3 linked regions of the Rattus norvegicus genome follow. The protein of the gene in region 1 binds, or shares a complex with, the protein of each later gene. Links are inferred from orthologs where the notes say so. Each region holds a gene or a part of one and is shown in the gene's direction. Other genes may lie near its edges. The genes, in order: Plxna2, Nrp1 and Sema6a.

The links.
Region 2: the proteins of Plxna2 (region 1) and Nrp1 are in contact, whole or in part, in a crystal structure (PDB 4GZA), measured with the Mus musculus proteins. The link is inferred for Rattus norvegicus from reciprocal best matches to the Homo sapiens genes PLXNA2 and NRP1. Residues at the interface, in NP_032908.2 of Mus musculus: Asp273, Leu274, Phe275, Glu306, Lys341, Gly342, Gln343, Lys344, Gln345, His348, Pro350; in NP_032763.2 of Mus musculus: Glu78, Arg80, Asp81, Lys83, Tyr84, Asp126, Tyr127, Glu128, Thr129.
Region 3: the proteins of Plxna2 (region 1) and Sema6a are in contact, whole or in part, in a crystal structure (PDB 3AL8), measured with the Mus musculus proteins. The link is inferred for Rattus norvegicus from reciprocal best matches to the Homo sapiens genes PLXNA2 and SEMA6A. Residues at the interface, in NP_032908.2 of Mus musculus: Ala93, Cys94, Tyr95, Pro96, Lys155, Gln192, Asp193, Tyr194, Asp220, Phe221, Val222, Pro229, Ser230, Asp231, Leu386, Lys389, Val391, Thr394, Lys395, Ala396, Pro397, Val398, Leu407, Asp408, Ile409, Asn410, Gln411; in NP_061214.2 of Mus musculus: Arg108, Met109, Lys110, Gly111, Met162, Ala163, Thr188, Phe190, Leu191, Ile193, Tyr198, Thr206, Arg208, His212, Asp213, Ser214, Glu219, Gln266, Arg267, Glu270, Lys271, Lys393.

The regions. Positions count from the first base shown.
Region 1 is NC_086031.1:108,715,399-108,719,050, forward strand, and holds part of Plxna2 (plexin-A2), read left to right. Parts: coding exon 1-884; intron 885-3,652. UniProt on the Homo sapiens protein: Coreceptor for SEMA3A and SEMA6A. Necessary for signaling by SEMA6A and class 3 semaphorins and subsequent remodeling of the cytoskeleton. Plays a role in axon guidance, invasive growth and cell migration.
Region 2 is NC_086037.1:73,374,969-73,378,620, forward strand, and holds part of Nrp1 (neuropilin-1 precursor), read left to right. Parts: intron 1-535; coding exon 536-867; intron 868-3,652. UniProt on the Homo sapiens protein: Cell-surface receptor involved in the development of the cardiovascular system, in angiogenesis, in the formation of certain neuronal circuits and in organogenesis outside the nervous system. Mediates the chemorepulsant activity of semaphorins.
Region 3 is NC_086036.1:42,240,119-42,243,677, reverse strand, and holds part of Sema6a (semaphorin-6A isoform 1 precursor), read left to right. Parts: intron 1-2,218; coding exon 2,219-3,420; 3' UTR 3,421-3,559. UniProt on the Homo sapiens protein: Cell surface receptor for PLXNA2 that plays an important role in cell-cell signaling. Required for normal granule cell migration in the developing cerebellum.

The DNA.
Region 1 (3,652 bases):
CCTGTAGCGAAGTGCTCACACTTACCAATAATGTCAACAAACTACTGATCATCGACTACTCTGAGAATCGCCTGCTTGCCTGTGGAAGCCTCTACCAGGGTGTTTGCAAGCTCCTGCGGCTAGATGACCTCTTCATCCTGGTGGAGCCATCCCACAAGAAGGAGCACTACTTGTCCAGTGTCAATAAGACAGGAACCATGTATGGTGTGATTGTGCGCTCTGAGGGGGAAGATGGCAAGCTTTTTATCGGCACTGCTGTGGATGGCAAGCAGGATTACTTCCCTACCCTGTCCAGCCGCAAGCTGCCCCGTGACCCCGAGTCTTCGGCAATGCTGGACTATGAGCTCCACAGTGATTTTGTCTCTTCCCTCATCAAGATCCCCTCTGACACCCTAGCCCTGGTCTCCCACTTTGACATTTTCTACATCTATGGCTTTGCCAGTGGAGGGTTTGTCTACTTTCTCACTGTCCAGCCAGAGACCCCAGAGGGCATGGCCATCAATTCAGCTGGAGACCTCTTCTATACCTCGAGAATCGTGCGTCTCTGCAAGGATGACCCCAAGTTCCATTCCTATGTGTCCCTGCCCTTTGGCTGCACACGAGCTGGGGTGGAATACCGCCTTCTGCAGGCAGCTTACCTCGCAAAGCCAGGGGAAGCTCTAGCTCAGGCCTTCAACATCAGCAGTGAAGAAGATGTGCTGTTTGCCATCTTCTCCAAGGGGCAGAAGCAGTACCACCATCCCCCTGATGACTCTGCCCTATGTGCCTTCCCCATCCGGGCCATCAACTTGCAAATCAAGGAGCGGTTGCAGTCTTGCTACCATGGAGAGGGCAACTTGGAGCTCAACTGGCTGCTGGGAAAGGATGTACAGTGCACCAAGGCGGTAAGGAACTTCCCTGTGCTTTGTTCTCAATGTCTGTTCCTCTGAACCTTCAGCTTACGGGTTTGTAAGAGCCTGGGATAGGTAAGAAAGGGTTTCAGGCAACCAGGTGGTGACTACCAATTACAGAGTCTTCCCTACATCAGATTCTTGGGATAAGTTTGCTGATTCATTAAATCAAGACTAATGCGTGCCCTGTATGCTTACAGTGTACCAGGCACTGCATTTGGTACCTACTAGGCTACATGTCTAAGCTACGTGTTCTCAGAGAGCTTTCCTACTAGTGAGGCAAGACAAGTCAACACATAAAACAGCCTAGTTGGATGTGGTGGTACACACTTGTAATCTCAACACTTGGAAGAAATAAAGGCAGGAGGATTAGGTGTCCGAGGTCATCCCTTTGCTACATCGTGAGTTCAAGGCTAGCCTGACTACATGAGACTCTCTCAGACAAATAAAATGATACTGCCTGAAAAAAATGCTAAATTGACTTTAGAGGAAAATAAAGCAAAGTAGGGATCAGCAGTAGATAATGTCTGCCATTGAGAGAGTAGTACTTGGAGCAATGGCTAAAAGAGGGAAAGGAATTTCAGAGAGAGGCAGCAAGTGCTTAAGCATCAGATAGATAAACATCAAGGAATTCCCACAACTTGGTTCAAGCATATGAGAGAGGGTACCACAGCATACATGGTAAGAATTTAAGCTGTGACATCTAATCAATTAGATTAAAATCAGTTCTTCCACCTGTATCCTGTATGTCCTTGAGCAAGTCATGTGCTTTATTTGAGCTTTGAGTTTTTCATCATTAAAATAGAAATAATGTTACTTTTTTATTATGAGGATCATGATATCAATAATAGTTAAAATGCTTGGCACACATTAATCATTCAATAAGAGAGCAGCTGGGATTACCAATGCTAATCATATTAATGAAAGACTAGTTATTTGCCTGTTTTATCTTACTTTCATAAAACGGGGGAGTCCGAATTTAGGTATCTCCAGCTTGCTTTATAGCACTATAGTTGTGTAAACAAGGACCCTCTTCAAGCAAAGAAGTAGAGAGGAAATGTAAGGGTTAACTCCTTGCAGCATCCACCCTGGTTCCCATGGCCCAGAGCAGGCCTTGTCAAGAGGAAACTGCTGATTCCTGCTTGCTTTTCTGCCAAAGTTAAAAGGAAGAGGACACTGTGCTCTGCTCCAGTGGTGGTGGAGAGGGGCAAGTCCTGGCTAGTCCTCATGGGACGTCAGAAATACTGGGTAATGACTAGAAGGATGAATGCTTTATAGCAGCTCTCAACCTTCCTAATGCTGTAACCCTTTAATACAATCCTCATTTCATAGTGACCCCCAACCATAAAATTATTTTGTTGCTCCTTCATAACTGTAATCTTGCTACTGTTCTAACTTGTAAGTATCTGACATGCAGGGTATCTGATTTGTGACCCCAAAGGGGTTATGACCCACATGTTGAGAACCACTCTGCCTTATAAGAAACAACTTTTTCTCCTGTCATCCCCTGGGACAATACCATTTCAAGCACCAAAGTAGTAAGATGTGCAAGATGTTGGTCTCCCTGGATGCCTATAGTAAAAGGACCCCAGAGGTAGGAACTAGAAATGCTTTAGTGACCTTTGAGAAATTTAAAAATCAATGAGAAGTCATGGCCCCAAACTTGACTTTAACATAGTTTGGGGACTAACATGTACTTCTCGGGTCTAAGGTTTGTGTATTGCTTCCACAAAAAAGCACGAGGATGGGACCCATCACCCCAAGGGTATCAGTTACCTGTGAAGGGCTGTTTTGAGCAGTTGATTACCTCACCAGATTATCACAAATAAATCACTAATTATTATACCTTTTGTAGATAGAAAATCAAAGGCTCAGTAGGTAAATAAACTTCTCAGATCCATATGACTGAACTAGAAATCAGGGTCTGATAAAGGGCATCCCACAGACTCCTGATGCTGACTGTGGGGGGTCACTGTCTCTGATAAGAGTGGTACTTCAGTCACTCACTGTTGACACAAATAGAAAGGGGCATCAGGCATTAGGAATACCTGACAAGATAGTGAGGAAGAAATTGCCATCCAACCAAGGGCTCATGCTCAGAACAGACCGTTTTCTTTACAATTCTGGAGACTCTAACATCAGGGAAAATGCAGAGAAACCCACAGTTGACAGCAAGAGCTTTTCACTTCTGCCATTGTGACTCAAAAACTGGCTTAGGTTACAACTCTATAGATCTCCCAGAGAGATCTGGAAAAGTAGTGAAAAACACTGAAACCATGGAAGCAAACTATAAAGAATTTTGACAAAGACCTGACTTAATTCTTATTTTATAGATAAGACAAACAAACAAACAAAAAAACCCTAAGACCCAGGAGGGCATGCAATAATTAAGATATGCTGCCAATATGGTTAAGGACAGTGCTAAAATTTAGATTACCAAACTCTTATTGAACAGCCACTGCTCACAGAACAAGGGTGAGAAAGAGACAGCCAGGGTAGAGGGCAGTGGCTAGTAGCTGCCTGCTTGGCACTGCCCAGTAGCATGCTGGAAAATAATAAGCATCTGACTCCATATAACAGGGGAAGAGGGAGAGCTCTGGTCTATAGCACTTGGCAGTTCCCGTGGTATAAACACTGCCAGGGAGGATGACTTCAAACAGGAGTGATAACAATGACTGTAGATGCACACATAGACATCTCTCATGAGCTGGTATTAGCATACCATGGTTTCTCCCCTTCCAAGTTGCAGTGTGGAATCTCTG
Region 2 (3,652 bases), on another chromosome or scaffold:
TTCGTTAAACTAAAAACACAAAACTATAGGTCTTGAGGACAGTTGATGGTGAAGGTAAGATAAGGTGGACACTGAGCTCTCTGCGCCTCTTTCTTTTTTCGTGCTGAGCCAGGCTCTTCCTTTGTCACCTCCTTACCAACTTCACTTTGCTTCAGCAATTTCTCGCTTGGGAGTATATCTCCTTAAGTATCTCTGGCCACATGTTCCGTCGTGAACCACAAATTCCTTGTAGGCAACACTTCTTGAAGTGGGAGCAACTGCTAGGAACAGAAGAGACTGGAACCTTAGACTGACATTAAACTTGGGAGAACTAAAAAGCATCCGGGGAGGGGTGGCAGTGATGCTCTGAATCAAGATTTTCTTAATGGGAATATGAGTCTAAGGACAGTAGAGACCTATAGAAGAGAAGACTCTGCTATTGTAAAGGTACAGAGACTGGAGATATCATATAAATGGATACAAGGTTATGTTTTCTTTCTAATCATGGCATCTCTGAGAAAATAACCTCAGCCCATCTATTTCTCCCATCATCTAGATTACCCTTGCTCTGGAATGTTGGGCATGGTGTCTGGACTTATTTCAGACTCCCAGATTACAGCATCCAACCAAGGAGACAGGAACTGGATGCCAGAAAACATCCGCCTGGTGACCAGTCGAACCGGCTGGGCCCTGCCACCCTCACCCCACCCATACATCAATGAATGGCTCCAAGTGGACCTGGGAGATGAGAAGATAGTAAGAGGTGTCATCATTCAAGGTGGGAAGCACCGAGAAAACAAAGTGTTCATGAGGAAGTTCAAGATCGCCTACAGTAACAATGGTTCTGACTGGAAAATGATCATGGATGACAGCAAGCGCAAGGCTAAGGTAAGGCCATGGGGTAGGGAGTAGCCACTGTCTGGAGACACTACCTGCCCTCTGGCTCACTAGGAAGTCATTTCTCCAGCCCAGGGCAGACGTTAAATCCTCCTGTCCTGGTATTTTTATGGTGGTTTGGTTTTGTGTGTGTGTGTGTGTGTGTGTGTGTGTGTGTGTTCATGCACACACATCTGCTCACACAAACATAAAACACCACACACATGAGTGTGGAGGCCAAAGGTGACCCTTGGATATGATCCCACAGGAGCCAGCCACCTTGGTTTTCTGGAACAAGATCTATGCCTGTAAGTCCCATTGATCCTTGTATCTCTACCTCCCAAGCCTAGGATTGCAAGTGTGCACGACTATATTAACTTTTTGCATAGGTTCTGGGGATCAAACCAGGTCCTCATGCTTCCATGGCAAATGCTTTACCTGCTAATGTATCTTCCAAGCCCCTTCTCATGTCCTTGCAGAAGTCAGGCTTCCCAGGGAAGCACAGATTTGGCTATGTTGTCTTCTCAGTAAGCTCCCGGGATTACTGTGTCCACCATTCTAGCATGAGGGTTACAGATTCAACATGCCAAATCTGGCATTAACTTGGGTGCTGGAGGATCTAGTCTCAGATCCCATCACTGCAGAGCAAGTACATTCTCCCCAGAGCATTTGTTTGTTTGTTCATGGTACTGAAGAAAGTGGATACAAAAAAAAAATTGCCCTCCCACTGAACTGCATCTCCCCACACGGTTTACATTTTTTCTTTGTTGAGATAAGTATGTCAGGAGACAGAAGATGGAGGATCTCTGTGAGCTAAAACAAAAACGACAAAAACAATCAGCCTGGATACATAGTGAGTTCTAGGCCCAGGTGGGTTACAAAATGAGACCTTGTCTCCAAACAAAAAGATAAAAAACAAAACAGAACAAAACAAATACATCTTCAATTGTGATACAGCATGCATGGAATTTACCATCTGAACCTTTGCGTGCATACATCAAGACAGTGACTTTATAAATTCACATCTGTGTCCAACTCTTCTCCAGATCGTTCATCTGGTGGAGCCGAGACTCTGAGCACATTCAGTAATCCCTCTCAGCTTCCCCTCCCATGAGTCCCTGGTACATCACCACTCCACTTCCTGCCCTGTGGCTCCAACCACCCTGGAGCCTCCTTTAAGCCAATCTTTCAGTTTCTGTGCATAGTGTAAGAGTGAAGAATCGTGGGTCCCAATTTCATTCGTTCTGAGAAAAGAATGCTGTTCTGCCATGTGAATAACCACATTAATGTATACATTCACTGCCGAATTAATTATACATTCACTGCCAATGGATACTAGGGTTTTTTTTTTCTTCAAATTTTAGCTATTGTAAATAATGCTTAGCAATACTCTAATGAATTTGGAACCTCTTAAGACTCAGTCACTCCTTGCTAATCTAATGAAAAGAGAAGGCGATCTCAGTATTACTGTATCCCAGCGTTCACAGAATGTGGTATAAGTTTTAAACCCAGAAGATATGCTTTGGTCACTAGGTTTCACTCAGTGTTGGCTTCGTTTATTTGTACTTCCTGAGCACACCGCATCGAGTTGGAAAGGGTCCCAGGAATGTGCTTGGGTGGCCTTAAGTGGATTTGGGATGAAAATGAGGACCCGCCCCCAGGTTTTCACATACCCCAGTGACACTTCTCACACCAACACATTTGGCCTTTGTTCTGGGACTTTCTAATTCTACCCACCCAAAGCTGCTCCCCAATGGGTGAAGACTGCAGCTCATTGGCTGGGACATTCTTTCACTTTACAACCAGTGTAGTAAGGTCTTGCAGATAGGAAGTAATCCCGGCCATGCTGCCAGCTTCCCTCCCTCTAGATATGTGACTTTGAGGGTGATACCCTATCTTCCAAAGGCTGCAGGTCAGCAATGGAGCTCCTAACCACCGACTAAACCAGTGTTCTGGCTGGGGAAAGCCTGTGTCCCTCCCTGAATTAACTTGTGTTTTCTAAAGCATTTCAGCATTGCATGTGGCTACTTTCTTTCTTTTCTGAGATGGGGCCTCATGTAGGCTCCAACTGTGGCTGAGTCCTAACTAACTAGGTAGCTGATGTTGACCTTTCTGCTTCTCCTCCTGGGATGACAGGATACCCATTTTGCTTGATGTATGCAGTACCACAGAATGAAACTCTGGTTCCAGGGCATATTGGGTGAAACTCAACCAATTGGTTTACCTATAGCCCCAGCTCATAAGTTCACTTCTTTCTTATGTCCGTTTTACTTTCCACTGTGATTCTGTGTATGCATGCATGCTTGTATGTGTGACTGTACTTGGGTATGCCATGCACAAGCATGTGGAAGCTAAAGGACACTTTAGCCATCATTCCTCAGATACTATTCACCTCACATTTTGAGACAGGGTCTCTCTCAGGTCTAGGACCCATTATGTAGGCTAAGTCCAGCAAGACTGAGGAGTTCTCCTGTCTCTGCCTCCCCAGTGATAGGATTATAGGTGTATGATACTATCCTCAGCAGTTTTACTTGGCTTCTAGGAATCACACTCAGTCCTTACTGACTGTGCTATCTCCCCAGTCCACTTGTCCTTTTTTATACCCAACCTTTCTTGACTTAGGGGAACACATTAGAAGCTAGAGTTTTCTGTACAATGACTTCAAGGAATGGAACAGCTGTGATGTCATCTCAGAGCATGGATAGGCAGCAAAGCTATGTTCCCTGCTGCTGCCGATGTAGGGTGTGTTGTTGTGACATGTTCTTCACACCAGGTTCTGAAGGCACAAACAAGTCAC
Region 3 (3,559 bases), on another chromosome or scaffold:
CCTTTCCTTGGACCTTCTAAATAGAGAGAACCATTTAAGCTCTCAAACGCCAAAGGTCACTGTAGGCAGCTTTCTCTAATAAGTAAACTTTTCTTGGTAAGATAGTCTCCACTAAATATGAGTACCCAAAGCCATACTGTGAAATGTCTGTTATGGTAAGAACTCCCACCCACTACCCTATACAGATGAGAGTCTTGCCATGGTTAGAAACGCAGAACTCACCAGGTTAATGAGAAAAATGAAACCATTGTAGTCACAGGTGTATGCATTGGTTCATTCAATTGTGTGTAGGGAGTTGGGAACGTGTGCAATAGAATTTCATACACAATCAGAACTGAAGGAAAATAAGTTGCTATTTTAATCCAACAAAAAGGAAATGTAATTTTTGGGAAGAAATTTTCATTAGCACATTTTCTTTCAGGCATAGGTATTAAAACATATTTGAATGCAAGCCACCCCACTGTCTAAGAGTACCACACATATAATGTGTGAGTTAGAACCATATTTCCCTGTTGGGTTTTTTGTTTTGCTTCTTCTCTTTGGTTTTTATCCCTTAAAAAGCTCATGAAGATATGTCTGGAAATCTTTGAAAAGTGTCACATGAGAAATTGCTCAATAGCTTACCGTTTCCACTGTGTTTCATGGGGGTTCCTCCCCCCCCCCCCAATTACCAAGGGTATTTGTTTAATCATAAAATCTTGCATTTAGAAGGTGTTTGCTTCTGTCTACTCCCACTGGAAGTCACAGTTCATTGTCACAGGAAGGTTGCCCCCACCTCCCCAACAGACACATGTGATGATGTCACACTATAAAAGGGTCCTTGAGAGAGAAGAGTGTGGTCTTCCAGCTAGGTCCTCTGGGTTTCGAAACTATCACTTTAATAATCAAAATATTTAGTCAGAAACGCCCCCATGACAGAGCTATGTTTCTTCTAGGTCTAGGTTGTGACATTTAAAATGTAACAGCAACAACCAATGAAAGTTTCAGGGTGGAATGGCAGAAGTTTAGGAGTGGACAGGGATTTGTCCTTATGTCATCTCATTCTAATTCGGTGCCCCTCGCAGTTGTCAGTAAAAGCACACTAAACATATTCCAGAAAGGGTTGACTTAGCAGGTGAAAAATGTGTCTCTGGAGACCAGACAAGGTACATTTTCTGTCTTGCCATCTTTCCAGAATAGGAACAATGTTTGCACTCCCTGGTGCGGTGCCTCTAATGTATTCGTGTTCCCTCCTCTCCACAGGCAGGGATGCAAGTATTTGAGACTTTGTTTTTTTTTAGCTACCAGCATCAAGCACTTTAGGATCTGAGGGTTGTGATGTCTGTTCTCGCTTGGTATTAAAAAATAAAAGCCCCAGCCTTTGCACTTGATTAGAGGAACTCAGCTTGGTGACTGATTAAGTAGCAGAGAAAAGGCAGCGTCTTTTTTTCCCTTCGGAATCGAGGCTTCTTGGTTAATGTAGTGGAAGGTAATAGACAGGGGTAGCCACGAAATTTTTATTAAATCGAAGAGATCAGCTCTGCTGAAGACTCTCATGGTGACAGCAAGCCCTAAGAGTAATAATGGGACCTGACACATTACAAGCCCATAGCAGGGGCCCTGATTTAAATAGTCTTTCAGGTCTGCAGGGTATTTACCTGAAATTGAGTGGGGGAGGTTCCTTTATTTTCATGCAAAGTAAATGTAAATATTGTAACCTGTGAGCTTCAGCTATTTTTCATTGTGGTGACATAAACCCCTCTATCCTCTTGTAGATTCAAAAACAAACATGCCTTTCTCCAGACAGAGGCCCTCTTGTCAGAAGGCAGTCATCAAGAAAAGACTGAGTGGAAAGCTTGGATTGTTGTGTGATTTGTTCGTTTAACACGCATAAAATTGTTGCTCCTTCCACCAGGCCCAAATTGCTCATTTATTCTAATTCTACAGGAAGTGGGAAAAGAGCAAAAGGAGAAGACAGATAAATACATTTTGACCCTGCCAGCCAGAAGAAAAGCCACAAAAGAAGGCAACAAATAAAATCGATTTACATACACATGCCAGGGCTGGCTGGGGTGGGGTGGGGGCAGGGAGGATTAATTAGTTAATGTTTGGCAAGCTGCGCCCAGAAGATGAGCTAAGCAGAGGTGCTATCGACACTTATTACGGTTATTAATTAACAGTGTGATTGCCTCCCAGGGTGTTTTATGTTTCTTAATGCCATGTGCGATGTCTATTACAGGAGTGATTCGGGAAAGTTACCTCAAAAGCAACGACCAGCTCGTTCCTGTCACCCTTTTGGCCATTGCAGTCATTCTGGCTTTTGTCATGGGGGCAGTCTTCTCCGGCATCATCGTGTATTGTGTGTGTGATCACCGGCGCAAAGACGTGGCGGTAGTGCAACGCAAGGAGAAAGAGCTCACCCACTCGCGTCGGGGATCTATGAGCAGTGTCACCAAGCTCAGTGGCCTCTTTGGGGACAGTCAGTCCAAGGACCCAAAGCCTGAGGCCATCCTCACACCACTCATGCACAATGGCAAACTGGCCACGCCTAGCAACACCGCCAAGATGCTCATCAAGGCTGACCAGCATCACTTAGACCTCACCGCCCTGCCCACCCCGGAGTCCACCCCAACACTGCAGCAGAAGCGGAAACCCAACCGGGGCAGTCGCGAGTGGGAGAGGAACCAGAACCTCATCAATGCCTGCACCAAGGACATGCCTCCCATGGGCTCCCCTGTGATTCCCACGGACCTGCCTCTCCGGGCCTCCCCAAGCCACATCCCCAGCGTGGTGGTCCTGCCCATCACACAGCAGGGCTACCAGCACGAATACGTAGATCAGCCCAAAATGAGCGAGGTGGTGGCTCAGATGGCACTGGAGGACCAGGCTGCCACCCTGGAGTATAAGACCATCAAAGAGCACCTGAGCAGCAAGAGTCCCAACCATGGGGTGAACCTTGTGGAGAACCTGGACAGCCTGCCCCCCAAAGTTCCACAGCGTGAGGCCTCTCTGGGTCCCACGGGAGCCTCACTGTCCCAGACCGGCCTGAGCAAGCGGCTGGAAATGCAACACTCCTCCTCCTACGGGCTTGAATATAAGAGGAGCTACCCCACGAACTCGCTCACAAGAAGCCATCAGGCCACCACTCTCAAAAGAAACAATACTAACTCCTCCAATTCCTCCCACCTCTCCAGGAACCAGAGCCTTGGCCGGGGAGACAACCCACCTCCCGCCCCGCAGAGGGTGGACTCTATCCAGGTGCACAGCCCCCAGCCCTCTGGCCAGGCCGTGACTGTTTCGAGGCAGCCCAGCCTCAATGCCTACAACTCACTGACGAGGTCGGGGCTGAAGCGCACCCCCTCGCTAAAGCCAGATGTACCCCCCAAACCTTCCTTTGCCCCCCTTTCCACATCCATGAAGCCCAATGATGCGTGTACATAATCCCAGGGGTTGGGGCCCAGGAGTTGAAGCATCAGATGAGGCGAGGCACCCACGCAGCTGAGCAAGGTCTCCACTGCCTCGGTATCCACCAAGATGGCCCTGGAGGAGCTGAGGACGCTGGGTCCTCCTCCTTGGGACA